4 linked regions of the Astyanax mexicanus genome follow. The protein of the gene in region 4 purifies or fractionates together with the protein of the main gene of each other region. This does not show direct contact. Links are inferred from orthologs where the notes say so. Each region holds a gene or a part of one and is shown on either strand. Other genes may lie near its edges.

Region 1 (7,490 bases), on a different chromosome or scaffold from region 4:
TCAACTTGATGAGTTAAAACAACTCAAGTGTTTAATTTGTCCTTTTTTTAAAAATGTTCTTTTTTATTTTAACACACACTTTCAAGTTAGTAAAACTTCAGTAATATTCACACAACTTATTATTTTAAGTTAACCATAAGTATTAGAAACATTTTTAACATTATTATTTAACTGCCAATACTGACAGTATATTGCTGGGGCAGAATAAGAGGAAACTCAGTAAAGAGTGAACTCTGTAGCTCAAATCCAGCATACTGTGATCACTACAAACACAACAAAGTTAATGTGCTTTTACAGCCTACAACACTGAGGCCTGGCAATCAACACATATATTATATTACTGCACGCCCAGGATCAGGTAGCTTTGTACAACAGACAACACAAAGATGGTAAGTAAGGGAGAGACCACACCCAATATGCAAATATTGACCTGGCAATCAACGTATATATTATAATTAGTGCACGCTGAAGAGTAAATGTTTATTACACTTTGGGTGTATTGACAAATATCTTTCAGTTATGATTACTTATCTTAGTATCTATAATTACATAATCATTGTGTGAAACCTTGTATTTTATATGCATTAACCAATACTCACCTTACATTTGATCATTTTTACTCACAGTGTATTTTACACGCATTTATATAGAATATTAACCAATAATCACAATATATTCTTTACATATATAGTAAAACATTGTTTGATCAGGCATGTGACTAACACCGACCTTATTATGACAAATTAACCCACATGATACATAAGGCGTTTACTAACACATAGGACCTATTATATGGCGGTCTAACCACGCGCCACTAACACATTAACATATAACATATGAGATCTATTGTGTGACGTGTGTAGCTCATGCTTGAAGCATTTCGTTTACTGCATGTCTCTGACTAACGGCCATCAATCATCAGCTAGTGCACTCTGGATGAACTAAATTGATACAAAGGAGGCTTCGGGACGAACAGTGCGGCCTTTCTCTCTGTGCGTGCAAAGTTCTTCACCTACCAAAGCGGGAGGACGCGCGCACATAGGGAGGGCGGCACTGTCTAATTACTGGAACAATATCACACTGTCTGACTGGACCCAGTCAATTCTTAAAATAATACCACACTGTCCGGCTGGATACAATCAAGGCCAAACACTAGTGGTCCGGACAGACCTGTGAAACTTGAACACTAACACGTGAAAATATGCATACTAACATGAGATGATTTTAGCAACGCCTCATCAGCAGGTTTCACGTCATTTGGGGTATAAACATGGTGTCATGGTCAGAACAGAATAGCAGACAAGCGCAGATACTGATAAAAACAATATACATTCTGGGTAGTGTAGTTGTTAACCTGAGAACCTCCGTTAGAGCTTGGTGTGGAAGGGACAGAGGAGCTAACAGCACCAGACGTGACACATGGAGTCAGATCAGAGGGGGGACAGAACTTTTACTGGGACGTCTGTTAACTGTCTTGTATGTATTGGTTCTCCTGAATTCAGTAATAAATACTTGGTTTGCTTTCAACTTCACTCCACCTGTCTACGACTCTCTATCAAATGAACACGTAGGGGAGTTGTACCCCGGACGAGAGGTGGGGGTTAACCCACCTCATTTTCTTTTCTACAACAACGCCCAGAATAAGGTAGCTTTGGGCAACAGACAACACAAAGATGGTAAGTAAGGGAGCGGCTACACCCAATATGCAGATATATGGTACCAGGAACCAATAGGAAAGCTGCATGAACCAACACTGTAGAAAGAGCTAAAAGTTGGTTGAAATCACATTTTTTCATTGGCTCAACAAACCTTTTTAAGTTTTCCGGTTGAAAACAATGGAGTTGTACTGGCCGGTGAGTTCACTCAACTTAATAACATTAGTTTTTCTGACTAAAACACAGAATTACTTTTTGGAGTGTTGGTGACTCACGCAGCTGAAAGTAATCCCCTTTAGTTTTTTGCTCCTTGTTATTATTAACTGCTATGCGTCGGTTAAAAAGTGTTTAGCCCAATGCGCCCACGGTTTTAAAGTTGTAAAAAGTACTCCAGTCTTGGAGTCTTGCTGCCTATCACTCTACCTCTCTGCATTTTCAAATCTTCACACTTTCATTTTTTTTAACCAATAACTTAAAAACGTAAGTTGAATAAACTTGGGTAAATTTGAATAACTCACAGGAAGTTAAGACAATATGTTATTTTAAGTTATTTTTATGTAAAACGAAGGAACTTGAGTTCAATATACTAAACTTGTCATGGCAATTGGAATTGAAAAGAACAAATAAGTTCACATAACTTAATGTGGCTGTAATGTTTTACAGTGCAGTCTCTGGGCTATGTATTGAATGAGTCCCAACAAGTTACTTTCCTAGTTTCTTTACTTTAACAATTATGGTTAAATATCAGTCAATGTAATTCAATGACCTCTTTAAACCTTTGTGTTTAAGATGGAGGTACTTAATAAAGCTGCCTTCCATTTACAGGTTCTGTAAAAAAAAAACCACAACGCTTCCTCTGTCCTTCCGTTTGTGTTTCTATTTGTTGCAACAGGTAGCCTAAAAACTCCTCATACGTACAGACGAGCCTGTCCTCTATGCACCCTGTCAAGCATGTCACTTCACTTTAATGAAGAGATAAACTGGCAGTTTTGCTGCCTTGTGTAGGACAATAGTTTTGCATGAGTGTCTTAAATAGGTAATGTTTTACTTTGACAGCGTACATTTTTTAATAGCATACATTTAATCTACTGATAATACAGCAGAGTTGTATATTGTAGTATAATGTGGCAGTTTATTCAGTCAGATAGAGGAGCAAAGTGTGAATATACAGTATTTAATATCTTGTTTTTTTGTTTCTCAAAACAGTTATATCTCTGGATTTTGAGTTTCAGATGGAAAGAAATCTTTTTGGATACAATATTTTGGAACTAGCAATTACTCTATCTATATATCAAAATTTAAAGTTACCAAAAAAGTCAAAGAAGGCATCATTGGCCTTGCCCTCTCAGGGGTAGGTTGATGACATTTCCTCACAATATCACTCATAATGTGCTGCTGTGTGCTGCTTGTATGTTGGTGGGATTGCTAGTGATAAACAATGGTATTGGCCTTTCAAACTGGCTGGAAAAGGGAGTAAACTTAGAAACAAATTATACAAAAAAAGAATATATGTAAAAAAAATAGCTCATCATCACAATTGTTTTCACATACTGCTTCCTTAAACTTTGGACAAGCATAAAATATTGGGGCTCATTTTTCCTCTTTATGGTAGAAATTGGCTTCCATTAGGCTACATGTCAAGGTTATGTGTGAATCCCTTACTTTTCATGTTGTTGTATGCAATTAACACATACTCATACTGAGTTCTCAAACTGGTCTTTCTCTAGGGTAAAGGGTGGGTGAGTTCTGACACAACACATAGAATGCTTGGTTAAATGGACCGCCCACTTTTTTCTCCCAGATTATCTCATAATTCAAATTTAGAATTGTGATATATGCTACACGACTAACTGTGCATCAGTCAGTTCACTTTTATGGGTGTAAAAAACATTTTTGCATGATATCCATCTTATCCCACCACTGGTTGAATGTGTTAAATTTCGACTATAACAATAGACATGGCTCTCGAAGACAAATTTTCAGTGTTGGAATAAAATCAGGCTGGCTAGAGTTGAGTGGCAGTCGAGTTGCGCTCGCGTCATCTTGATCGCTCAGTGTTGTTGAAATGTGTTTAGGATTGAAAGTTTTAGTCAGCCTTTTTCTCATCCTCCGTTCAGATAAAATCAACCGTGTTTAATATTATTGTACGTCTTGAGACTTGGCTCACGCAAATAGGGTGTGAACAATGTCAACAACCAATAGGAGAGCTACGAAAAGCCACAAAGCAAAAATATATTTGAACGATTTGAAAAATATATATGGTCCTTACTTTAATATATACAGCATTTTAAACACAGGTAGCACTTCATCAACAATCATTATATTTAAAGTTATTTTATTTTGCACTAGTACTTTTTCTTATTGAGCGGTGTTATTTTTTTATACAAACAACGTTTATTAAATACACATTTTGCAAGAATGTTCTTCATTTCATTAATTCTATCTAAAACTAAGGCAAATGGATAGCAGTTATTCTTTGCTATACAAGGTTATAGCAAAAAATATGGAAGAATAAGTTTACAAGAGATTTGAACACAAAATATAATCTATTATAAAAATATCAAGAACTAACAGTGTGGCAGAAAAAAAATGTTGATGGGGACAAAAGTTATGAGTCTCATGAATCTAAATCATAGTGTCAGACTTTAGTCTATTAAAAGTATTTTTAAAGTCTTTTCAAAGTCTTCTAGTGTATGGTTAGAATAGGGTGGATAGCTAGTTCACTATATAGGGAGTAGGGTGTATGGAGGGATTTTAAATGCGGACACAGCGTGCTTAGTGGAGGCGTAGCAAACGTGCGATACGTAACAACGTCACTGCGTGGAATTGATTTTGGTAGGGGGGGATTTATGTATTTTATGTTTTTAGGTTTATGTATTAAACACCTCAAAAACTTAAAGGTTTGTTCAAATAACAGCACCATATAGTACTAAAACTTAATCTAAATAATTCAAGTTTGTGTTAAACTAAAACTACGCGTTTTCAGTGCTCACTGTATTTCCCACAGGTCCACACAGCTCCCCCTCCGTAGGACATGGACTCGCCCAGGGGTTTGAAGTGGAAAGCGGGAGTCAGGCCGAGAGGAGGACACAGAACCCTGTTAGGACTAAATACAATAAATATAGTTATACATATATGTATATAACTGTATCTGTATGTTCGCGGGCTCTGTGTTACGTGGGGCGGAAAACAGACACGCTGTTTGGGTGTAGTTTAGTTAGTTTTCCGCCTCAGCATGAAGGAGAAACAGCGCTGAGACAGTCCGTTACACTAGAGGCTAAGCTAAGCTAACTGAGCGAAATCGAGTTCTGTGCTTCTGTGGCTTTTGTTTACTAGTGTTTACTGCTTTAATAGAGTCGCCTCCGCCGGTTATTTTCATAATTTATCGGCTATTTAACTTATTTAACCCCCAGAATGGACGTGACTACGTGTCTGAAGTCTCTGCTTCTGGCGATTCGGCAGTACAAAAACAACAAAAGCACCCTGAGTTCATCACAGCTGCAGAAACAGATCGAGGTGAGTCAAACTTACAGTCTGAGCCCCTGAGGTGACCCAGAGTAGATAGCCAGGGTTGCCAGGTCCAACAAAAATATCCAGCCCAAAGTCAGTCTAAAATCTGATCTTTAGAAGCTTAAACTAGCCCAATATATATTTATATATATACATATATATATGTCTGTCTCACGTTTGAAGCAAATGCCAAAACAACTCTGAGTGTACGACTTAGTGTTTTGTTTTATAAGGGGTTTATTATCCGTATTGCTATCTGTCTCATAAGTCATTAATAATATTGTAACATTAGTGTTTAATTAGTTATTTTACATCTAACAGTTACTAATGATGCTACATATTCTAATAATACACTCCAAATATCTCCATTATAATAAAGATTTGTGACTTACTCTACTGTAATATAAAATGTAATATAAAACACTAAGGCTCTGCTTACTATTGGGTTTATTTTGTCTCACAAAATTACACAATATATGAAGAAATTAGACTTCATTAGCATGATCTGAAGCATGTAAACAATAGACCTTAGAAAGAGGTATGTCAACAATTTTAACACTGCTTCCTTTTTAAATAGTTCCATAAACACTGTGAATGGACCTAAAATACTCAATCTTTAAGTATTTAAAAGAGGCATTGTTCAAAAGCTCCTTTTTACAAATCAGACACAAGTTTAAATCAATATCAAAATAATAATACGGAAAAAAAAATAATAAGTGAGCATTAGTGCTGCACAATATTAAGAAAAACAGACGTGATAAAGTATAGTGCAATATTTAAAAATACAGGAACTGTAGGGCTGGGAGGTTAATCTAATTTATTTGATTGAGTTACTGTTTTAATGTGATTCTCAAAATATGAGGGATTCTCAGTGGATAAACATTTGCTTCTGTCAGAAACCTGTAACAAACTCTTTTATGTGGCAGGGATTTTCATATTTTACACTTTTTATTAACTGAAATACAAGCCTGTTATTTTTGCACCGTATTTAATATAAAAGCTGCATGTAAGGTTGAAGGGGTCTGCTTACTGTATCTAACAAAAGTTTGAACGTTAATGTAAATTATGCAGTTTTTTTCCAAATCGCAATCAAGAATATTAAGGTATACATACAGACTTATGTATTTATCAGTGCATAAACTTGATTTTTCTTTTGACGCCTCTACAAACTAGTGAAAGATATTTTCACAACAAAGCACTATTATAACCCTAGATAAGAGCACCTTCTAAAGTTGTTGTATATAAGTGTAAACCAAATGTCACCAGAAATGCCAAAGTCAATGATTTAGCATGTTGTGATATTAATAATGAACCCTCTGCCTATGTGCAACAAATTGGAGTAATATAATGAAGCAGGGCAAACAATCTGTGTCGGAGAAGTTAGAATAATTTTGTGGGAAATTTCCTTTAATTTCAAGCAAACTGTAACACAAAGTGTTTGATTTCATTCCCCATAATTGGCGTGTGAAAATTGCACGCATGCACATTTGAATTTTACATAAAGGTCTGTCTTTTCTTTCTGCAGGATGTGTCAGGCCTGAAGTGCTCTAGACTCTTAACATCTGGTCAGGTGCTTCCCAGCGAGTGTTTGAGTGGCCTGTTGGAAGTAGCCGGAGATCCAAACACCAGCCATGCCCTTACTGGGGCCATCCTCTCTCTGCTGTCACAGCTTGGTACTTACTCACGTCATCTATCTGTAAAGGCCCAGAGTTTACTTATATTAATAACATGAAGTTAAAATTATATGAAATGTTATGATAAATTTCCCATTTCCTTGAAAGTTACCACTGCAAATTCAGGGCCTTGTTTTGACAGCCATAAAAAATGCCTTTTTCTTTCTTGGTAGCGTCTGATGATGAGAGCAAAGAGGCCCTTCACAGCAGTTACAGCATTGTTGGAACACTGGCTGCCATCGTCCACTGGAACAGAGCCACCCCAGAGGAGTCTGTTGTTTTACAAGTAAAAACTCCTATCGTTCTACCTACCAATGTCCATGTCACCTACTCATTTACAGTGAGGAAAATAAGTGTTGATTCACTGTTGATTTTGCAAGTTTTCCCACTTTCAAGGAATGGAGAGGTCTGTAACTTTTATTGTAGGTACATTTTAACTGTGAGAGAAAGAATGCCACTAGATGGCATTACAAATGTATCTTAATTAAATTATTTAAATTTGACCATTAGTGCCTAATGTAGTGTATTACAGATCACTTGTCTCACTTGCATCACTTATATCAAGCCCACCTTTTGAAATAAGATATTGTAAATTTAATGAATCAAACCAATGAATGACCATAGACTAATCTAAAACTGGCATAGGCCTCTC
Region 2 (7,673 bases), on a different chromosome or scaffold from region 4:
TACAGAAAAATATAGTCTTTGACTATGCCTAAACCTGGGAAACTGGAATGGGAATGTTTACATTACCAGGCTGAAGTTACTCAAATCTGATTTTTTGCTGAATGTGGCTCAGATCTAATTTTTTCATGGCTGTGTGAATGTGCCAAATCTGACTTTTTCAAATCAGAGTTGAGCCATTTCCATACGTGGTCCTAAATTAGATACGAATTCGATCCATTGATATGAGACATGAATGTGAACTGTCAAATCAGAATTCATGCGTCTTTTTGCTTTTACGCATGTACTACGTGCTTCTCTCTTATACCCTCTCATATTTCTTGTGCCAGCAAAAGCAAACCGCCTGGCCTTTTTTCACCGCCTCGAGCTGAGCATGTACTTCAGACTAGTTGTTTGCTCTCCACTCGAGCAAAAGATGCTCCACATATGAGCTGCTAACACATCCATTTCACCTCTATAAAGGTACAAGTCGTCTCTCAAATATGACATTTTTGTTGTTGATGAAGAAGGCAATGTTTTAAAAGTATCAGTGTGTGCATGTTAGATGTTTCTGGGACAGATTTGTTCACATTACACACAGATACAGATCACTTACACTTGTGAATGTAAAGCGTCAAGATAGACAAAAAATCGGATTTGAGGAATGTGGCTTGTAATGTGAACGTAGACTTAGTGTACATGAATCACCACAACAAAAAGCAAAACAAAAATAATATTATGAAGAGTAATCAGTACAGTCTCTGAAAACCTTGCCATAATGTATTGTTGCTGTAAATCTAGTTAACAAAATATCTAAAAAACCTCATTAACAAAGAATGTAATGATAAACCAACCTACACCCCAATCCTTCCCCCATTACACACTTTAAATTGAATACTGCATAAATACTGTTTTCAAATGAAGTCACTCTTACCTGTGTGGTCTTTTTTGAGGTGTTTATGTGTGCATGCCTTGGATCTCTTGGGTGCCAGTTTGGTGTGGCTGTCATCTTTCTTCTCCAAGTCTGTCTGCAGGGAGAAAGATCTTCCAGTACTGGTCCCTTCAGACCTGGACTCACTGCTGTCATCAGGTTCACACATGTAGAAGGATCTGGACCTGGGTCTGCTGAAGTTTAAGTCAATCCTTCCAGAACCCTCAGGAACAAAAAGGGAACAGGAGCGAAGTCTCCGACAGCCAGCCAGAGGAGCGGCACCTGCATCGTTCCCTCGCTCCAAATCCACCAGACCAAAACGAGTAAATTCACTACCTGGGGAAACCTGAAGCATGGCTGTTATAGCACTACTTACATAAAGAACAGAAAGGTTTGCAAGAGTTTAGAAGACTCTAGAGTGAGTTAGAAGAGTTTAGATAAATGTGGAAGAGTCTGACAGCTTTAGAAAAAGAGTTACAGAGTTTAGAGAAGTTTAAAGGAGAATTTAGAATAACCTACATGAGCTTATGAAACTAATATTAGAGAGTAATATCTTTCTATGCCAAAGAAGTCATATTAATATTAATATAAATATTAATATAAATATTCTCCTCTATAATGTCTGAAGTTATGTTTCCACAATCAACATTACAAAAAAAATAACACTGCAACATATTTGTGAGGTATTGCACTTACAAAAAACAAACAAATAAACAAGCAAGCAAACAAATGTACAGCATCTCACATGACTTCTTATTCCAACACGTGTTTTTATTCTTGAAACAAAATATAGACAGCTTTTGGCCTTAAATGTGGGGCTTTATGATGTCTTCCAGTCATGTTACTTAGTGTCAGTCACATAAATCACGTTTTGTCAGATGACAAAAAAAGTTTAAAAATCTTCATATGATATCAACTTTGATTAATACATTGTATTGTATAAAGCCTGGATACTTTAGAAAGGTCTAACCTGTGAATATCTTGGTTCGGCATTGAAGACATTCTACTTTTTATGATTATCATTGATTAAGAAATTATCATTAATGAGGTTTATTAATTGAGAACTTATTATCATTGTTTACATTCTTATGTTTGGTATAAGTTAAAACCTTTTTATTTCATTATAAATTTTGTATTTGGATTATTCTCCTAATTTGGTAAAATAAGTAAATAAGTGTAAAATGTATATATATATATATATTATTTTTACTAGAAAGGACGTGACAGGAAAATGTCAAGGGTTTTCCTGCTTTTGGGGAAGGATTATCTGAGATATTGTCTCAAGTTAGTTATCATTACAATTCATTTAAGAAAATAAAATTTGTTTGTATTTTTTTATACCCATGGAAAAAATTATGTTAACCATGTCCTTGGACTCCATCTAAAAGTGGTCCCTTGATGTGCCTTTATAACATATTATGTGTTTTCTTGTATTAGAGTAGTATAAGTATTACATTTATAATACAGAAGCATGAAATAGTCCAATATACTGGTCCTGTGGAACTTTACACATTAATATGACATGGCTGTGAATATAATATTTAAAAATCAACAAGCTGACTGTGTCAACAATTTGGCTGACTAAACACCACAGACAAAAAAAAACAACAGATTGGATAAGTTTCTGCTGGGCTTTTAAAAAAGATTAACCCTTTTTAAAAAATATTAACTGTACAACTGTATACAATAAACTTAGGGTTAAATGTGCGGATGTGAATTTAGGAAAGGTTTGATTACAATATTGTTTTTGTTAATACACATTTCTTCATAATGTGAATTTAGTCATTTTTCTTTGTGCTGTATAAAAATGCTCCAAAATGACTTAAATTGTATAAAATGTATTTTAGTATGTAGTATTTTAATTACATTAACTTCCATTCAAAGTTGGTAGCAACAAGGTTTTTGTTTCTCCTAAAAGGTTATAAAACATTTAGCATGATAGTGAAGGTTTGATAAATGTAAAATAATGTAATTAATTTACAGAGGTAATGGATTAAGAGAATAGTTTATGAGACAGGGGAGCAGTAGAAACAACTAGAAAACAGTAAAATACTGATTGAAAAGACAGAAGACAATTGTAGAGCATTTCTAGCTAGCTTTATAGACTTTTATACGAAAACTAAACAACTATGAAGTATTTATATATTGTAGCCTTTATTACTAGGATGTAAATCTTATATTAGAGTACTTATTTAGTATTTATATAACTTAACAAATGGGGACGAGCCCTGAAATAAGTTCCGTGAAACTAGCTGTCCTCCTGGAAAGCTATTTTGAAATGTTGATATTTTACCTGAGGATGTAGGCGATTTAACCACAGGTAACATTTATTTTCTTTATATTTATTTATTTATTATTACTTTTTATATGGAGCTATACCAGAGGAGATATACCTCTCTGAAATTAATTTAAAAGGGTGACATTTTAGAAAATGTGCAGAAATGTCCGTGTAAATAAAAAAACATTAGCTTCGCGTTTCCAATACCGAGTGCAGTTTGTCCCTTACAGCGCTCTGTACTCAGTCGCAGAGTGAAACAGGAAGCAGCTGATCGCTGTAGCTTTGTTTTGATTTTCGTGTTAGATTTTTTCTGCTTTTGAGTTTTCAGTAAAACTCTGGGTTAATTCAGCGCAGTTCAGATGAAACATGGCTCAGGACCTGTGGTAAGTCTGAGCTTCAGCCTCGCTTAGTTCTCCTTATACAGCGCTATATAAGTTATCTGTATCAGCAGCAGCTCGAGCTGTAGAGAGAGTTAGCTCAGGTCAGCTAACCAGATAACTAAAATCATTAACATATAGCTAAAGCTGCTGGAGAACTTCTTACTGCGTACTGTCCTGAGACCTGTACTTATCCGGGCTCTGGGGTTACTGGTGTGTAAAGACGGCAAATCAGTGTGAGAGATTTTTGTCCTGGTGTTTAGAGGGAGAAGCTCTCAGTCAGCTGATCCCAGTCTCATGATGCAGTCCTGCAGTTTAAACTCAGACTGTCTGCTGATAATTAGCGTTAATAACACCGCAGTGCAGACACTACCATACAAACCACACCATATAACGTAAACTCTGAACGTGTTCAACACTCCGACCAGATATTTCTTGCTCAAAAACAGAACAGTTTCTGTTTATGGATCTTTTTAATCCAGCGAGCTTTCTTTACTGAACTAAAACAGAAACTATAGAGGAAACTCCACTGCATTTTTAGAATTATCTAGCTTCATAACTGTAGCCAGAGAGATAACTTACGTAACTACCTAGCATGTTTGAGACAAGCACATTCAGGTTTAGTGTGCTTTTTATTTGCCCGTTTTATTCAAGTTGTCAAATTGTCAGTACAGCTAACCACACAGTAATATAATGTAATGTAATGTTTTAATTTTTATTTCTTAAGGTCTGTCAATCCAAAAACTTTGAAAATATCCTCAAGTGCAGTCACAAAGATCGTCAAAAATGTAATGATTAAAATGGCACTCATCAGGAAAGGAGTAGAGGAGAACTTGTAGGTTAGGTGTATAATTAAATATTGTTAATAGTTTTTTTTTATTTAACTGTTTAATTGATCTCGTTCTACTTTGTGTAGAAAACAGTGCTATTGTTTTGAACCACTATTTCATCAGGTTGCAGAATTATGATGCCACTTGCCGACTGGCCCAAGAAATCGCAGAGAACATCCATGAGCGGAACAGACTGCAGAGAACCGGTGGGAACCCTGCCAAGGTAAAGAAATGACCTCAAAATAATGTTAGAATTGATTAGAATTAGACAAATCAGAGTTTCCTCACAAAAACCATTGAACTCATGAGAGCTATAAACTAATACAACAGGACTTTACCAGTCACGCTCATCAACAGAGTGTAATACAGAACATTTTCACTAATTTATAGAGTAGATAATAACATAATAAAGAAACTGAGACAGAGAGAAGTAGCTGCTAAATGCAAACTGGAAGCCAGCCAGTATGTTACATTAAATTACATTACATTACATTAAATTACATTTAGCAGACGCTTTTGTCCAAAGCGACTTACAATAGTCAAGTACAAAGTAATAGAAGTTTAAAGGTAAAACATCTTTAGATAGGGGCTTAAAGGAGGTCAAAGGGAAATAATGGGATAGAGAAGTGAAGGAGGGGAAGAAGGAAATGAGGTTAGAAGTAGTTAGTGTGTTAGAGGTGTTAGGAGAGTAAGTGCTCTTTGAAGAGGAAGCTCTGTCTTCAGGAGTCTCTTAAAGATAGTGAGAGATTCTCCTGATCTGGTAGTAGAAGGTAGTTTGTTCCACCATTGGGGAACTCTGTATGAGAACAGTCTGGATTACTTTGTGTGAATGTTTGTTTGGTAAAGCGAGGTGACATTCGTTGGAGGAGCGCAGCGACCGGGAGGTGACGTAAGCCTTCAGGAGCAAGTGCAGGTAGGAAGGAGCGGTTCTGTCATCACCTTGTAGGCGATTGTAAGAGCTTTGAATTTGATGCGAGCATCAACTGGTAGCCAATGGAGCTCAATGAGCAGCGGGGTGACATGTGCCCGTTTTGGCTGGTTGAAGACCAGACGTGCTGCTGCATTCTGGATCATTTGGAGTGGTTTTACTACACAGGCCGGGAGGCCATTTAGCAGGGCATTGCAGTAGTCGAGGCATGTGCACAAACTTTCTGATTTGGTCTGTAGAATATTTCTTCATAGTCAGGCTAAGGCTGACAGGCTAATGGTTACCGTAATTAACATGAATGTCAACTTTAACTGTAATAACTATCATTTAAATTTTTTTGGAAATTTGTATAATAATAATGTTTGATAATGAAAAGAACACTGCTCTTTAGAAGCGCTTTAATGTTATAACATTATTGTATAAATTACATAAATGTGGTCTTACATTGACAGTGATTTTTTTTAATCCAATTATTTCTAGGACAATATGATAAAAAGAAAATACAAATGGCTATAAAAATACTGTACAGTGAATGTAGAGTGCATAGTGCACAGTCCTACCCAATATTACTGGTAGTAGTTATATCTGATGAATATAAGTTAAAGTTATTAACGTATGGTTAATTTAAGTTAATGCTTTTTCTGTGCAGCTCAACATGACTCTAAGAGCGTCGCTGCAGAAGCTGAAACAGAACATCTTACAACTGAGGGAGACACTGGTTCGAGCCTCATCACAGCGCCGCATGTATCCTTTCACCACTCTTCCAAACTCCTATAAATTATTATACACTCTTATACATGCTTATAAAATGTTATACAGTATTCATACCCCTTGTACTTTTTCACAGTTTGTCACCTTACAACCGCAAGCTTAAATGTATTTTATTGAGAATTTAAGTGATAGACAGACACAATGTAGCACATGATTGTGAAGTGGAGTGAAAATGATACATGATTTTCAAATTTTTATTCAAATAAAAATAATAAAAGTGTGACATGCAAAGTTATTAGTAGACCTATCTTTCACTGCAATTACAGCTGCCAGTGTTTTGGAGTTCCACTTCACAATTATGTGCTATTTTGTGTTGGCTTATCACTTAAAATCTCAACGAAATAAAATTAAATTTGTGATTATAAGGTGACAAAATGTGAAACTGTTCAAGGAGTAGAAATACTTTTATAAGCCATTGTACATGCTTATAAATTTCTAAATGTTTTTTTATACATGCTTATACAATTTTATACATATTTATAAACTCCTACACATTTATTCACTTTAATAAGCACTTATACATGCTTATAAACTCTAATATGTGCTATTATACACCTGTATGCACCTTATACACTCCCAAATATACAGATCTGGGGAAAAAATAAGAGACCACTTCAGGGTTTGAATCAGTTTCTATCTGATTTTGCTATTTATAGGTTTATGTTTAAGTAAAATGAGCATTGTTGTTTTATTCTATAAACTAAAGACAACATTTCTCCCAAATTCCAAATGTAAAAAATTGTCATTTAGAACATTTATTTGCAGAAAATGAGAAATGTCTGAAATATAAAAAATAAATATACAGAGCTTTCAGACCTCAAATGCAAAGAAATACAAAGAAAACAAATTCTTATATTTATAAAGTTTTAGGAGTTTCAAGCTGTTCAGTTTGGTTTGATGGCTTGTGATAATCCGTCTTCCTCTTGTTGGTAAAAATAAAATAAAAATCCTCATTTTTAAGTGGTCTCTTACTTTTTCCAGGGCTGTATATATATCTAAACACTTTTATACTGCCTTTTATACACCTTTTTTGATGCTTCTTCTAATAACATATCAATATCAATATAAATAGCAAAAATGGTTCTATTATTTGCAAAATGTTCCAGCAATTTCCATATTTGTTATTCTGTTGAGACGTTACAAAAAAACTGCCTTTATAGGCCTGAATTACATCTACACAAGTATAACACAAACCTACAAAAACAGCTAAAACTCTAAAGACTTATTCCATGAAGCATCAGGTGCGTGTAAAATTACATCAGGATGACAAAGCCTTGGAATCTTTCGGAATAAGGATTTATAAATGCATTAATTTAAAAAGCTCATGAACACTCTACGTGTCCTTCCAGATACACAGACATGTGGTAATGCTCTGGACGTTTTTGTGTCCAGGACTGGAATTCAGTTTTTCCAGCACACATGACCAAATTCCAGGCTGGTTGGGGTAAATCGTGGATGGGGTTTGTGTTGGATATTCATCCCTTGTTTTGCTAAAACTGTGGCAGCAGTGATTGGAAAAGCAGGAGGGGTGATGAATCACTTTTATTGGCTAATTGTGTTTCTGTAATGGATGGAATCTCAG
Region 3 (7,695 bases), on a different chromosome or scaffold from region 4:
AATTTATTAGAATTACCAGCACAAATCTTAAAAGATAATATATGTGAAGAGGAAATCTCAGGGGTTGATGCAGAAGAACGTAGCTATGAGAGGAGCAGAGAAGAAGTCATTAAAGAAATCGCTGTCAGCAGCACTGCTTTCATCGGCCCGGCGTGTCGACCCGACGCAGCAATAGAGAAGGAACTGAGTGATTTTTACAAAGAGCTTGAGGAGTTTGACCACCATGACAAAGTTGATGGAGTTGATGGAGAATTAGTAGTCACAGAAGGTCTTTCTCGGTTATGTGAACCAGAAACCAATCCATCTCCCAGAAAAGAGACTCGGGAAAATGATCACAAGAGTGCGTATAGGCCTTATCCAGCTACTCGACCTCAAAGAGACTATGAAAATTCTAGGACATGGAAGCCTCAACCACATAACGAAATTACATGGAACGGTCCTGATGCAGCAAACAGCCATCCAAGTCAGTGGCAACATCTTCCACCACCAAGGCTTCCACATGACCCACCACGATTTCCAATTCCTGGCCGCCGTCATTTCTTACCTCCACCCCCACCTATACCTCAGACTCCTACACCACCTCTGCATCTCCTGCCTCCTATTAACAACTACAGTCACCATGACACCAACAGCTGGTGCTCCTGGGAAAGGACCAATTTTCCTCTTCGTAATGACATCAGACTTTCTGCATCAAACTGCCCTGAGTCATTTGAACAGCGAGGAAGAGGTTCAGCTGACTGGCAGCCATATTATAAGACACAGCATTATCACGAGCGAGATCAGTACCAGCGTAACAGTGGCACGTCTCCGGTTTTGATTTTGATGAGAGGACTTCCAGGCTGTGGGAAATCAACTCTGGCAAAGTGAGTTTTCAGAGCGGCTGTACAATCAGTCAGAAGCACACCTGATTACAGTTGTATAATCTGTTGGCTTCAAATGCTCAATTAGTTGAGGTGTACTTTTGATTTGAATAAAAATCATCAGTCACACCAGCCTCTTTGTGGGTAAAATTGGTGGCCCTTGTATTAATGCATTATTTTAAATGGAAAATCCATTTTATTTACAATATCACACCGATATATATATAATACCATACATTTTTGTAATATATTATATAGAATTTTGCTGTGATTAACATCCTATTTTACATTAACTAAGAATTCCGCACATTTAACCTTCTTTTACATCATCCCTTTCTTTTCCCTTCAAAACACTATTGACTATTGTATTTTCTTTAAAGAGAAATATTGTCCTGTGGTCCTGATGGTCTAATACTGAGCACTGATGATTACTTCTTCCAAGAGGACAGCTACTTCTTTGACCCTACTTTACTTGGGAATGCACATGACTGGAATCAAAAGAGAGGTATTACTTATTTCTACAGAAGTTATCACATAAAAACATGAATTACATATTGCGGAGACCCTTTTTTAACATGAGATATGAAACACAAGAAAGAAATGGAGCTCTCACAAATACAGGTGAACAGTGTGAAAATATTGAATGGTAATATTTCTGAGCATATCGTGGATATTGTCAGTGAAAAACACACACTGACCAACTGACCATATTTTTTTAAACATCAGATTTTCCATATATACATAATGTGCTCTATATGGGAGAGAATTTAAACAGTTTGGCTACATCGTCATGTTAAAATGTAGTCAGTTCATGCAGTACTAATTTAGACGTACCCTAAATCTACTAGTTTAGAACTCACTGCATTGAGTGTGTTTTAAGGATATTTTTTATCGTAACCTACAATTTAACGTACCTTCAGCTGGTGTAACTGGTTACTTGGATTAGATTGCAGTCTGTATTAGAATGAGATATTCAAAAGTGTTTATGTTTTTGTTTTTAAAGCTTTGCTCTGTACTGAATATTCTTACATTTTCAGCTTCATAGCTAGCCGTATATTCTGTTTTTTTTTTTCAGCAAGAGATGCTATGTTGGACAGACGTTCACCTGTTATTATTGACAACACAAACGTTCAGGCCTGGGAAATGAAGCCCTATGTTACATTGGTAAGTTATCAGAAAAAATGCCAGGCTATCCTATAGGTTTCCTGAAATATGAAATATAACTGTGTTTATACCTGTATGTCTGTAGAATTTTCAAATAAACAGTGTTTATTATTCCTGTTTCAGTATGGTAATGTTTATGACTGTTTTGTATGTGCTATTTTATTTTTTTGCAGGCTTTGGAGTGTGGATATCGAGTAGATTTTGTTGAGCCTGACACACGATGGAAATGTGATCCCACTGAGTTAGAAAAGTAAGTCTGTGCATTATGTAGACCTGAGTATCCCAGGGAAGGCTCTGACTGTTGGTCTTGTGGGCACCCAATATGTATGTGCCAAGTAAATTTTCTTTGCATGTCCTCTTAAAAGTTTGGGAGCATAAAAGCCCACTCCACTCCTAAAAATAAAGATGCTAAAAAAGGGTTTGTGCATCATTGCCCTAGAAAAAACAATTTTGGTTGCATGTGACCCATTTATAGGCATAAAGAATCTTAATGTAAACTTTCTGATTGATAAAGATTCCCAGCACCCTCCTAAACCAACCCAAATCTCTCTTATGAATGTGTTTATCTATAAAATATCTCAGACAATGTTTAGTGGTTTAGTGACAAAAGTGAACCTGATTTCAGAATGTTTTTGATCAAAATTAAAGTAGGATATTGTGTTGTTGTTACTTATTCTTCACTTTATGTCAAAATATTTTTGGACTTTTCTTCTAAAGAATGTGTTTAATCATGTTCTTTTGTTCCCAGCCACTTAACCCTCCTGTTATGTTGCATGTCAAACTATTTTAAAGCATAAAAATAGGGGAACAATATTTGTAATTAATTTTGGAGCATGCTGGCCTTAATTAATATTATGGACACAGATAATGAGTAATACATTTAATGTGTTTGATTCATTTCAAAAGGAGGAATACACATAGGGTCCCACGGGACACTATAGCAAAGATGCTGGATCGATTTGAGCTGCCTATCAGTGTGGACATCGTGATGAACTCCTGTGAGCCTCCTCATAAAAGCAAAGAGCGCCTTTCCAAACCCTATGGACAGAGAAAATATGATAACTTTTAAATCTTTTATCAGACAAAGAAAATAATAAATATATATTTTTTACTTGAACTTTGGAACAAGCTTTTTTTGTTATTTAGTCAGTAGACATGTATTTGTGTTTTTAAACTTCTGTAAATAATGTTTAAATTTGTATGACATTTTGAATTATGCTCAGTTCAGGTCTTTATTTTTGGAAATTTGTGTACACACAAAGCTTTGTGATTTTGTATTTCTGTCCACTGTCTTTATATTGATTAATGAAGAAATGTCCATAATGTCCAGTTTAATTACTGACTGTAATAAAAAACTGATACCATACACTTTGTCCTTTTACACTGACTTTATAAACCAATGGCTACATTCACTGCTGTTTTCTTTTTGTTGTAAAACGTGGATGTTTTAACACTTTTGTTTGAAAGGAAAAAAAATAAACTCTCAGGTAAAATTTTAGCCAAATGCTTTCGTGAGGATAAAGTCATTTACAGGTACTAGATGTCTCGTACACTCAGTTCTGTCTCCCTGTTCTAAACGAGTGTCCCCATGGATGTCCCTTAGTAGAGTCTTTATTAGATTACATTTCAGAGAAGCGAAACCTTGGAGGTAAGATTGGGTTTGTAATCGGTACCTGTATCACCTGTAACACAGCTGCCTTTACTGCCTACAGCTTACATATAAAGATGAGAACAGAAATTATAAAATTACATCATATAATAATTATAATACTAAATACATTTCTATTACCCTGGTGGTAGGATTTGGGATTAGTTGGTTGTGTTAATTTCTGCAGGTTTTGGATTTAAAACTGTTGTTTTGGCAGCAGGGATTGGGGTTTTAGTCTAGGGGGTTTAGTCTGTTGCTTTGGTCAATGGATTTGGGGTTTAGTTTGAGAGTTGTATTCTAACAGGTCTTAGTCTGAATTGCTTAGTCTGAAGCATTTAGTCTGTTGGTCCTGTTGTAAGGGACTTATATATGTTTATATAAGTCTAAGGACAAACGCCGGAGAGAGAGCCTGAAGGTTTTAGTCTGAGGGGTTTAAATGTGATGATTTTAATCTGAAGAGTTTAGCCTGAGGATTTTAGACTGAAGGGTTTATGTCGACGGTTTAATTCTAAGTGTTGAGTTTGAGAGTTTTAGTCTGACAGTTTTAGTCTGATGGTTATATTATATTCTGAAGGAATCATTTAGTCTGAGTCTGGATCTTTAAATCTGAATTTATAATGAATGTTCCTGTCTGATTTATTTATTTTGAAGGGTTTAGTTTTAGTCTGAATGGTTTATGATTAGTTTTAGTCTGAAGGGGTTTAGTTTTAGTCTGAGGGGTTTAGTTTTAGTCTGCAGGGTTTAGTTTTAGTCTGCAGGGTTTAGTTGTAGTCTGCAGGGTTTATTTTAGCCTGAAGGGGTTTAGTTGAGTCTGCAGGGGTTTAGTTTTGTTCTGGGTGTTTTGGTGTGTCAGTTCCCGCCGCGTCCTGCATGTGGCGCTGTTGGCCCGGGCTGTGTGAGGTGAAGGGGCCGCTGGATTGGTGCAGCCAGCGGACAAATTGGCGCCATTTTGAAGCGGAGAGGAGGATCGGGGAGCTGGTGGAGAAGAGACTGGACTGCAGCTCCTCTAATCAGGTAGATTTTTATTAAAATCAGGAGCTGCTGTTCGGTGAGGAGTTACGGGATTTAGTGGCGGAGTGTGCGCGGGGAGCGGGAGGCTCGGCTGCCGGGGGGCGCGCGGGGGCTTTGTTGTGTTATTTCAGCGCGGATCCGGTTAAACTGTACTGAGGTCCATTCTCTCTCTCTCTCTCTCTCTCTCTCTCTCTCTCTCTCTCTCTCTCTCTCTCTCTCTCTCTCTCTCTCTCTCTCTCTCTCTCTCTCTCTCTCTCTCTCTCTCTCTATCTCTCTCTCCCTCTCCCTCCCCCTCCCTCTATCTCTATCTCTCTCTGATCCGGTTAAACTGAGGAGAAGCGGCTTCTCTCTGCAGGCTGAGGGGAAATATATGGATTTTTTGGTGATTTATCCGGTTAATGTGTAATTTTTTCAGCCTGAGCGCCTGTTTGAGTTGAGCGTTAGCGCCAGAGCTGATCTCTAGCAAGAAGGGCTAGCTGTTTATGCTAACTAGCCGTTAGCTTAGCTAGGTAAGGTTTTCATTATTTTATTATTTATTTAATTCCAAAAGAAGAGATTTTGTGCTTTTGAAAAATTGCACCTCTTTATGTTCACGTATCGGTCCCTTCTTATAGCTTCAAGACTTTTTGATTTTTTTATCTGTCTCTAGAGAGGTGTTTTTAAATGGGTTAGCTGTAGATGCTAAGCTAGCTCTCTAACTGCTGTCTGTAGCTGAGGGTCTGAGGGGTTAGCTTAGCTGTCATGTATGTAGCCCCTTTTTATTGTGAAGATAAATGTTCACATTTATTATCTGTTTATCGATAAAACTCTTGTCAGGTTTAGACGAATCCAATTTGATTCAGATTAATCACAAAAAGCCCGTTTTCTGACGAACGTTTTTCTTTGGTAAAAATCAGACCCTTCAAATCAGACCCCTAAATGTCACCTGTCAAATGGTTTCAGAGGATTATTTATTTAATATAAATACATTACCTATTGCAGCTAACTAACCTTTTTGTCTATTGTGTGGGTTACAGGGTTTGGGGTTTAGTCTGGAGAGCTGGTTGCAGGGTTTGGGGTTTAGTCTGGAGAGCTGGTTGCAGGGTTTGGGGTTTAGACTGGAGAGCTGGTTGCAGAGTTTGGGGTTTATTCTGGCGCACTGGTTGCGGGGTTTGGGGTTTATTCTGGAGCGCTGGTTGCAGGGTTTGGGGTTTATTCTGGCGCACTGGTTGCAGGGTTTGGGGTTTAGTCTGGCGCGCTGGTTGCGGGGTTTGGGGTTTAGTCTGGTGCGCTGGTTGCGGGGTTTGGGGTTTAGTCTGGCGCGCTGGTTGCAGCGTTTGGGGTTTAGACTGGAGAGCTGGTTGCAGAGTTTGGGGTTTATTCTGGCGCACTGGTTGCGGGGTGCGGGGTTTGGGGTTTATTCTGGCGCACTGGTTGCGGGGTTTGGGGTTTATTCTGGAGCGCTGGTTGCGAGGTTTGGGGTTTATTCTGGCGCACTGGTTGCGGGGTTTGGGGTTTATTCTGGAGCGCTGGTTGCGAGGTTTGGGGTTTATTCTGGCGCGCTGGTTGCGGGGTTTGGAGTTTAGTCTGGTGCGCTGGTTGCAGGGTTTGGGGTTTAGTCTGGTGTGCTGGTTGCGGGGTTTGGGGTTTAGTCTGGTGCGCTGGTTACGGGGTTTGGGGTTTATTCTGGTGCGCTGGTTACGGGGTTTGGGGTTTATTCTGGTGCGCTGGTTGCGGGGTTTGGGGTTTAGTCTGGTGCGCTGGTTATGGGGTTTGGGGTTTAGTCTGGCGCGCTGGCTGCGGGGTTTGGGGTTTAGTCTGGCGCGCTGGCTGCGGGGTTTGGGGTTTAGTCTGGCGCGCTGGCTGCGGGGTTTGGGGTTTAGTCTGGCGCGCTGGCTGCGGGGTTTGGGGTTTAGTCTGGCGCGCTGGCTGCGGGGTTTGGGGTTTATTCTGGCGCGCTGGTTGCGGGGTTTGGCGTTTAGTCTGGCGTGCTGGTTGCGGGGTTTGGGGTTTATTCTGGCGCGCTGGTTGCGAGGTTTGGGGTTTATTCTGGCGCGCTGGCTGCGGGGTTTGGGGTTTATTCTGGCGCGCTGGTTGCGGGGTTTGGCGTTTAGTCTGGCGCGCTGGTTGCGGGGTTTGGCGTTTAGTCTGGCGCGCTGGTTGCGGGGTTTGGGGTTTAGTCTGGTGCGCTGGTTGCGGGGTTTGGCGTTTAGTCTGGCGCGTTGGTTGCGGGGTTTGGCGTTTAGTCTGGCGCGCTGGTTGCGGGGTTTGGGGTTTATTCTGGTGCGCTGGTTGCGGGGTTTGGCGTTTAGTCTGGCGCGTTGGTTGCGGGGTTTGGCGTTTAGTCTGGCGCGCTGGTTGCGGGGTTTGGGATTTATTCTGGTGCGCTGGTTGCGGGGTTTGGCGTTTAGTCTGGTGCGCTGGTTGCGGGGTTTGGCGTTTAGTCTGGCGCGTTGGTTGTGGGTTTTGGGGTTCAGTCCGTTACCCTGTTAGCGAGGTGTGGTTTTCGGTCTGTAGCGCTGGGTAATGCAAAAACATGTTTTAGTATCTTGTTTTTGTCGCATTTCTTTGTCCTTTGTGAATCTGGTGTTTTTACATTGACTTTCAATGAAAGTTAAAATCTTTTTCACTGCTGTAAAGTTTTTGTTTTGGAAATGAGGATTTTGCACGATTGACCGTACACAGTGCACAAGTATTAAATGTGTGTTTGTTTTTCTTTTTTTTTTTTTTTTCCTTTCCCTCCTTTTTAATAAAGCTATTTGGTTTAAGTCATAAATGGGTTGGTATGAGTTCTTATAGAATTCTTAAAGAATGTAATGCAAATTAAACATCGCCTGCTTGGTATTAACCTTTGGGACTCCTCCTTCTGCATTGGGATTGGGTTCTTTGCTTATTTGTTTCTTGCTGTAAATAACGCCTTCCTCTCCTTTAGAGACTTGTCTCTAACTGGCAGGCATATTTTCTTGATGAATGGACCAATAGAAATGGTCCAAATAGCTTGGTATAAATTATATGGCAGTACAATTTGTTTAT
Region 4 (8,156 bases):
GATAAGAGGAAATTCGTTCAGACATCATTTTTGTAGGCCAGGCTTTTGTAACCGATTTAGCCCCTACTGTTGCCACATTACCCCTTACGTTTTATTATATAAATCAGTTTCGAAGAGCCTGCATTTTTTTTATCATGTATAATAGAGGTCTGCGCGAGACTGATTTTTAAACCCACTCTTCCACGCTCCGCGTTTCTGTCTCGTTACCGCTCCGCAAAAAAATAGCTTCTTTTAATCCCGCGCCCGCCCGCCACATACACATTTCTGCCGCTCCCGCCCCACGTTCCTAATATAAATTAAACAAACTACATTTAATGCTTCAAATTTACTTATATATTTATTAAAACAGCAGCGCCGTTCCTTACCCCAGTCCAAAGACCATCGGTGTGTGCGTGTGTGTGTCGGTCCATCCTGCGCGTTGAGAGTTTTCTTTAGGTTTTTTTTTTTTACAATTATTACAGTTTTCTTAACTATTTATTAATTTGCTCCCGCATCGTCTGGATTAAACTCCCGCTCCAGCCAATAACAGTTCAGTTCTGTACCGCGCGCAAGATATTCTGACGGGACCCGCGAAAACAGAAGTGGTTAGAGTGAGGTGGAACTCTGGAAAGGAGAAAAAAAACGAATATCCGAATACCAAAATTAAAAACCGAATACCTACTCAACGAACGAATATCCGAATACCCGAATATTCGGGTCCAGCCCTAGATGAAATGCTTTGTCTTTTTTAATTTTGACACTTTCTGAATCTGGCAGTTGTTCTTTACATTGTGTCAAAAAGAAATGTAATATATGTGTGTGTGTGTGTGTGTGTGTGTGTGCGCATTACGTTAGCTCCTGCAGGGCGTGTTTAGAGGTGTGTAGTTGGGGAAGGTAGTGGGAGATCAGCCCCTCGGTTAGTTTCTCCACAGACTCTTTATCTACGATCAGCAGGTCCTCCACAGGTCCAGCCTGAAGTTCAGACCCAGATCCAGCTTCAGCCTCCTCAGCCTCTGGCCCCGCCTCCGAGCCTGGCCCCGCCCTCTCTGCATAAACACCACATAGCAGAGCCCTCTCAAAACACTACACACTGGAGTTTAATTATTGTGAACCAGATTTTAACCTTAAAGTAAATACATGTGAATGTGTAAGGATGGAGCTGACTATATGAATATCGTTATTGTCCTGCATAGACCTTGTATCTCCATTTTTTTCATCATTTGATTGTTTATACTGTGAAAAACTGTCCTTATGAATGGACTAATATAAATGATTAAGATTTTTTTTTCTGATATTTTGTATATATGTATATATACATATACATATAAATATTCCTAAATTTACTAACATAATCTTAAGTGTAAACTCTCATAAGTAGCTCTGTGTCATGAATGTAAAAACACATGTAGTTGAAATTGAACATCTATTATATAGGTTAAACTGCTGTAAATTCAATTACTGATAAATTATAAAATTATTACATATGCTGTTATTATTATAATTACAAGTATTCATTAATCTGACTAGTTTATATATTAATACTCAGAATAAATCAGAGGTTGACTGACCTGTGTTAGTTGGAGGCTCCGCCCCTTGAGGGATGGGCCAGTCTGCATCTCCAGCTTTATGCTCCATTAGGACTAAAAGCTTTTATCGTAGCAACCCTAAAAGATAAAATAAAGGGTAATGTGCCATATTTCAAAAAACTATTAATCTACGGTAACTGGTTACTAACATAAAACACAGTTAAACAGTCCACACATGAGAAAAGTGTGTTTCTCATCTCTTTTTTTTTTTACTTTATATCTTTTCAATGGGGCAGCACGCTACGCAAACGGCGCAGCACACTTTAGCCGACTGTCAAAGAGCAGCCCTTTCTCCAGAGAATGTGGACATCCTCATCTTTTGAAAGAAAAACTTGAAAATATAAAAATATCTTTATTAAAGAAAAAAATGTTTTTTTCTGTTTAACTGTTATAGTAGGATAGCGTTCAGTTTGTTAAGGCTCTAATTGTTCTATTATTTTGTACATGACTGTTCCTGCATTATTTTATTATTTATTTTGTTATGTTGCACATTGCTGTAATAGTGCACACTGTTGATACCAAAAAAAGCCACTAGATGGCATTACATATATATCTTAATTAAATTATTTAAATTTGACCATTAGTGCCTAATGTGGTGTATTACAGATCACTTGTATCACTTTGCATCACTTATATCAAGCCCACCTTTTAAATTAAGATATTGTAAATTTGATGAATCAAACCAATGACTGACCATAGACTAATCTAAAACTGGCATAGGCCTCTCTGCTGTAAAAAAAAAAAAGGAAAAGAAAATCGAGAATCGAATCGAATCATGACCCTAAAATCGGAATTAAAATCGAATCGAGGATTTAGAGAATCGAGACACCCCTACTGAAAACTGACCTTTACTAAAGCAACTGTTTATCTATACGTTTTGCCTTAAAGTATATTATGTTATTCTCAATTTTTAATGAATTAATCAGTATTTTATCTTAATTAATATTTAGCACAATCAATATACTACCATCTCAAATATTTAGAATATCATTAAAATGTTTCTTTATTTCAGTAATTCAGTTCAAAATGTGAAACTCATATATTATATAGATGTACACACAGAGTAACACAAAGCACTTCATAATTTCCTCTGCTGACAACTTTTATGGAGATTCGGATTTCATTTTCCAGCAGGATTTGGCACACTGCCCACACTGCCAAACGTACCAATTGGTCTTATATAATATTGAATTTTTCTTATACACAGATTTATGGGTTTTTATTGGCTGTAAGCCATAATTACAGCCCAAACTATTTACTGAGAGTTCTGTACTGTACTGGAATCTCCTCCACAGTCTCCAGATCTCAGTCCAGTAGAGCAGCTTTGGGATGTGGTGGAACGGGAGATTCTCATCATGGATGTGCAGCTGATAAATCTGCAGTAACTGTGTGATGCTCTCATGTTAATATGGAGCAGAATCTCTAAGGAATGTTTCCAGTAGCTTGTTGGGCCCAACCTGGTACTAGCAGGGTGTACCTAATAAAGTGGCTGTTGAGTGTATGTACCACTATAAAAAACTGCCTTTACTCTAACAAATTCAGATTATTAAGGGAAGCAACTGAAACCTTTTGAAACAAATGTAACCTTTATATACATTAAAATTTAGCGCCCAATTAGTTGTATACAAAAAATAAAATCAAAGTTTTCTCCTGAGAAATGTATATTTCATTTATTAAGCTAACTGGAGCTTACATAGACTGCTCACAGCTTTAAATCCTTTTTTAAAACTCTCTTTTTAAATTACTGGGATAAATAAAAGCAATAGATATATTAAAAGAAATAAAAATTATAAATTAATTTTAACATAGCACAGCCAGTGTTGGACAAGTGTAGTAGGGTGAACAGCATCAATTAGTTATATATACATCAGCAAGTATTAGTTTGAAACTTTGACCGAACCTTAGCAATTATCTTTTGATACTGATATAATTCCGATATCACCATGCATAACTACCAGGAATACCCACCTCTAAAAATAACACTGGACCTTTAAAGGGGTACTAAACGCCCTGATTTTAGCTGGCACCACCCTCAGCTCAAATTTGAAAAAGTCTTAATAATGGGAGAGGTAGTTTAAGAGGGGGCACTGGGTGATGTATGGGTTTAGAGGCAGGACAGGAGGGAGTGCTGATTGGCTGAGCTGCAAATTTTAAGTAGGACATGTATGTCTTATTACTTCAAAGGAACACATTTCAGCTATTAATGGAAAAAATATGATTTAGAGTTTAGTGCCTCTTTAAAAAACCGGCTGCTATCTGTAACACCACGTGTTCTATTTTACACAGGTCAGGTCACGTGTACCCAAAGAAATCTATCAGTATATAATAGATGACAGTGTCCTGTTTAACTAATCTAATCTAATCTGATCTCATCATGATCAGAGTCTATCCTATTAAACCCGCACTTTAAACCCAACCGCATGTCTAAACCTCTAAACCTCGCCTGTGCATCAGCCTGCTGTTAATCCCGGGTATATAAAAGCTTTATATTTACCTTTAATCATTTCTGAGACTTAAAACCCCAGATATTTCTTCCTGAACTGATCAGACCTTCAAAACATCATGTGACATCTTACTGAGACCAGCAACAGCAGCGACAGCAGCGCGCCTGCGCCAAATCACAGCCTGTCAAAATAAAAGTCTCCTTTTATTTAATGAAAACTGTATTAATTACATTTATTCATTCTGTGTGTTTTCTTAATTTTTTACAGTTTAAATCTAATATTAAATACTGTATTAAAGCTTTACAGGAACACATGCCAAATTATTCTGTAAAGAAAAAATATTAAACAAACCAGCATACGTTTTATACTGTAGTTTCTTCTAAGAATCACATTTATATTTAAGGACAGATCTGCACACTCTCGATATTTTAATAAAAGGAAATTCACCTGGAATAGTTTCCTCAGCGTCTTAAAAGGAGTTCCTGGAGGTGCTGAACAATAGTTGCTGCTTTTCCTTCGCGCTGTGAAGCTCCAGCTCATCCTAGATCTCAGATTGTGGAGGACTACATTTTTTTTCTGTTTACTACGTAATTCCATATATGTCCCTTATTTTTCAGCATATATATATATATATATATATATATATATATATATATATATATATATATATATATATATATATATATACACTCATATGTGTTTTTATTATATTATTAAAATAAAATAAAATAAAATAAAATAAAATAATAATAATAATACATCATTATTTTCTTTGTTTAGAGTTTATGGTGACTTTTATTTTGGCAGAGCAGTCAGGTGACTTTCCAGCGACTGTGTCTCACTTCACAGCTTCTGAGCGACAGCAGAGAGAGAGAGGGACGGCAGCAGCAGCAGCAGCGGAGGAGAGAGAGAGACATACTGACACTGACACTACTAACACTAATGCTGCGGTCTCACTACATACACGCGTGTGAGAAAGAGAGTGAGACAGAGTGAGAGAGAGTGTCTGTGAGGAAAATGGACAATTAACGACTCGGCTGGGAGAGAGACGGAGGAAGACGGTGAGTTTGTTTGTGTTTCAGAGAGACACGGCCTGAGAGAGAGAGAGACGGATACAGGGGTAGAGTAAAAGAGAAAGAGACAGGTAGACAGTAAAATAGATAGCTTAAAGAAAGGCGGGACAGGTAGAGAGTAAAGGAAAGAGAGACAGGTAACCTAGAGGGTAAGATAGAGAAATAGAGTAGAGGAAAGGGAGAGAGACAGATAGAGAGTGAAAGAGAGAGTAAAGGAGAGAGACAGGTTGAGGGTAAGAGAGAGAAAGACAGTAAAAGAGAGAGTAAAGGAGATACAAGTAGAAAGTATGAGAGAGGTAGAGAATAATAGAGAGAAAGACAGAGGTAGAGAGTAAGAGAAAGAGAGGTACAAAGAAAGAGAGAAAGGAAAACAGAGAGAAAGAGGCAGAGAGAAGAAGTAAAGGAGAGAGTAAAATAGAATAAAACAGAGAGGGAGTGTGAAAGAGAGAGAGAGGCAGAGTTATAGAGTAAGAAAAATACTAGGTCTAGCACGATAAAAATTGTTTTTGAACAGTATATAGTTCCAAAATGTTTTGCGATTAAAGATATAATTGTCATATGAGTTTTTTTTAAATCATAGTTTAGGAAAGAAATACTTTATTTCTTCACCTACTGCTGTCCAGAAAAAGGAAAGAGTAAAAGAGCAAGTGAGAGAGAGAGGGTAAAAGAAAGAGAGTAAAAGAGAAAAGTGAAACAGAGAGGTGGGAGTAGATACAAATGATGTTGATCTGAGTGTGTTAATCAGGTCCTGTTAAAAACACTGGGGTTCCCCACGAGAACCGCATTTTTAATCCATCCAGCATCTTTCAGAACAGGAACTGAGAAGTGTTAAGAGATTTTCTAGGTGATTTTGGAGTGAAATTAAAACTACTTTTTAAAAGGCAACAGAACTAAAGCAGCCCAGGAGCTGAACCAACACAGCTGAGTGAAATAAAAAGTTAAGAGTTAAATAAACAGTTAATAACCAGTGTATTTAATATTATATTATATTAAATAATATTTGATTATTTGACTTGATCTGGTTCTTTCCAGAACAATTAAAGATCCCTTCTTTTTTTTTGGATAGTGTAAAAAAGCTACAACGCAGAGCTTGAAGGGAAAGTGTTGTTGTTTAGTAAAGGGACACAGTCCTCTGTATATATTGCTGTCATTGCTGTTATTACTATAATTGCTGTTATTATTATTGTTTATTATAACGTATTGTTTGTAACTGCAGGTGATGTAAGATGATGACGTTATGCAGAGTAAACCTGAGGATCCTGAGAGATCACCTGACCGCTGCAGCCTCCCCTCAACGACAACACTCCGGGCCGAACCTGACGGACTGATTTAACAGCTGTCTTTCGTAATTATACACACACTCGTTTATACACGCATTTCTCCACGTTGTCGAGCAGCTCATTTCCAGCACTATGTCTGGGATGGACTTACTGTCCCGCATGCGCTCAGCGCTGCGCCGGGAGCGGTCGGACCGGGACTGGAGTGCGACGACCCCCCTGGACGAGGAGCTGGCGGAGGAGGACAGTCCCCGGTTCAACCGGCTGAAGGTGGTGGTCTCTGGAGAAATGGAGGACTACACGGCGGCGTCCTCCAATGGCACCACAGTCAACACCTTCCTCACCAATGGGGACGATGATGATGACTCTCTGCTGGGCCTGTCCTCAGGCTCGGGCAGCCCCGGGGTCACCGCCGCTGAAGCGTGCGAGAGCTGTGCACGGAGGAAAGAGCGACATAAGCAGAGCCGTGTGATGAGAAAGCTAGCACTGGCCGCTGTGCTGTACTTCTTGTTCATGATAGGAGAACTTGTAGGTAAGAACCATTAAGAACATTGGGCAGTACCAGATCAGAATCTTATTCCGCTATTAGAGCGTTTTCACACCAGCACTATTTTGTCCAGTTATAAGGAACTCTGGTTCGTTTGTACCAGAGACTGTAAAAAAGATGGACGCCGTGTCGCCATTCCCATTCCCATTACTATAGCTGTTGCATTTAAATAATGGAGGTAGAAATACAGTATATAAGAAAAAAAACGTGATTGAAAGTTGTCTGTTTTGCCATTGAAACCTATGGGGATGGGTGAGGTTACACAGCTTTCTGAAACCGAACAGCAGGGGGCGCCCGACCTGTGGTGGCTTCACTTTTGAGAGACGATGCTCTGTCCAGCTATACACAGTCTATGGTTTGTACCCTTAGTGTTGTTTGATTGAGGTGTGAACACATTAGTTGCACTCTAGTGTGGATCGCTTGTGGTGATAACGTGATCTGGTCTCAATCCAACACAGCTATCAAATACAGTCATTTAAATACATATTTATTTAAATGACTGTAAATAAATATGTACAAATAAATAATTTATATGTATTAGCCAGATTATAACACTAATTACTACAGCTATAAACAAATGCAGTCCCTGCAGCTTTATGCTGTTTACACACACACAGTAAGTGCAGCGTTCACTGCTCGCAGCTGTGCAACTCCATTTACTACTTTTACATCTGTACTCTGACCAATCAGAGGAGACAATGTGCTTGCGTGGTTTATTGGTGCGGGTTCTTTGGTGAGTTTAGGTTTAAGCCTGTGTGAAACCAAACCAAACAAACACGCTTGTGTGCGCGCTGAACAGAATATCTCTCTCAGAATATAGTTTTTCTCCTCTTGGTTGTTTATTTATTTTCCTCTCAAATTCACAGTTCTCCTCACGCGCTGTGCAAATTACCTGCAGCTTTTGTTTTTGCTCGAGCGAGGCTTTTGCGCTCGAGTTTTGAAAGGGGTGGTTTTGACAGTTTGGGGCGGGGTCAGGGTCGCCTCTCTCAGCGAATACTACTGGCTGATATCTCCAGGGTTTGTGACGGAACGCCTACCTCCGCTAGCCGGAGGGGGCGGAGAAAAAAGGACACAAGGAGAGTTAGCCAACTAGCTATGCTAACATCCAAACAGCCCGCTCTCCTGCGCTGTTAGCACGGGTATAGTGCCTGTAATGACCGGCTCTCTCATTTACTAAACCCGGGCAGACAGCGCTGGAGGGTTGTTCGCTCCAGATGCTGAGCGAAAGAGCCGTGCACTTAACCCGGGCA

The links.
Region 1: the proteins of slc30a4 (region 4) and cip2a purify together in Homo sapiens (affinity purification with mass spectrometry; 3 studies listed by BioGRID and IntAct, counting the BioPlex papers as one, with this or other methods). This does not show direct contact. The link is inferred for Astyanax mexicanus from reciprocal best matches to the Homo sapiens genes SLC30A4 and CIP2A.
Region 2: the proteins of slc30a4 (region 4) and stx8 purify together in Homo sapiens (co-immunoprecipitation; 3 studies listed by BioGRID and IntAct, with this or other methods). This does not show direct contact. The link is inferred for Astyanax mexicanus from reciprocal best matches to the Homo sapiens genes SLC30A4 and STX8.
Region 3: the proteins of slc30a4 (region 4) and pds5b purify together in Homo sapiens (affinity purification with mass spectrometry; 3 studies listed by BioGRID and IntAct, counting the BioPlex papers as one, with this or other methods). This does not show direct contact. The link is inferred for Astyanax mexicanus from reciprocal best matches to the Homo sapiens genes SLC30A4 and PDS5B.

What each region holds. Positions count from the first base shown.
Region 1 is NC_064408.1:99,719,154-99,726,643, forward strand, and holds the start of cip2a (protein CIP2A), read left to right. Parts: upstream 1-4,483; 5' UTR 4,484-4,555; intron 4,556-4,662; 5' UTR 4,663-4,689; coding exon 4,690-4,754; intron 4,755-5,068; coding exon 5,069-5,171; intron 5,172-6,690; coding exon 6,691-6,838; intron 6,839-7,011; coding exon 7,012-7,124; intron 7,125-7,490.
Region 2 is NC_064412.1:26,665,851-26,673,523, reverse strand, and holds the start of stx8 (syntaxin-8), read left to right. Parts: upstream 1-4,347; 5' UTR 4,348-4,353; coding exon 4,354-4,397; intron 4,398-4,515; coding exon 4,516-4,615; intron 4,616-5,969; coding exon 5,970-6,064; intron 6,065-7,673. UniProt on the Homo sapiens protein: Vesicle trafficking protein that functions in the early secretory pathway, possibly by mediating retrograde transport from cis-Golgi membranes to the ER.
Region 3 is NC_064425.1:46,070,629-46,078,323, reverse strand, and holds the start of pds5b (sister chromatid cohesion protein PDS5 homolog B), read left to right. Parts: upstream 1-4,544; 5' UTR 4,545-4,686; intron 4,687-5,033; exon of another isoform or gene 5,034-5,192; intron 5,193-7,695. Other genes in the region: n4bp2l2 (NEDD4-binding protein 2-like 2), read left to right, coding at 1-863, 1,241-1,365, 1,936-2,024, 2,198-2,274, 2,931-3,093. UniProt on the Homo sapiens protein: Regulator of sister chromatid cohesion in mitosis which may stabilize cohesin complex association with chromatin. May couple sister chromatid cohesion during mitosis to DNA replication.
Region 4 is NC_064416.1:44,422,883-44,431,038, reverse strand, and holds the start of slc30a4 (zinc transporter 4), read left to right. Parts: upstream 1-4,864; 5' UTR 4,865-5,070; intron 5,071-6,298; 5' UTR 6,299-6,494; coding exon 6,495-6,891; intron 6,892-8,156. Other genes in the region: bloc1s6 (biogenesis of lysosome-related organelles complex 1 subunit 6), read right to left, coding at 830-1,025, 1,548-1,614. UniProt on the Homo sapiens protein: Probable proton-coupled zinc ion antiporter mediating zinc import from cytoplasm potentially into the endocytic compartment. Controls zinc deposition in milk.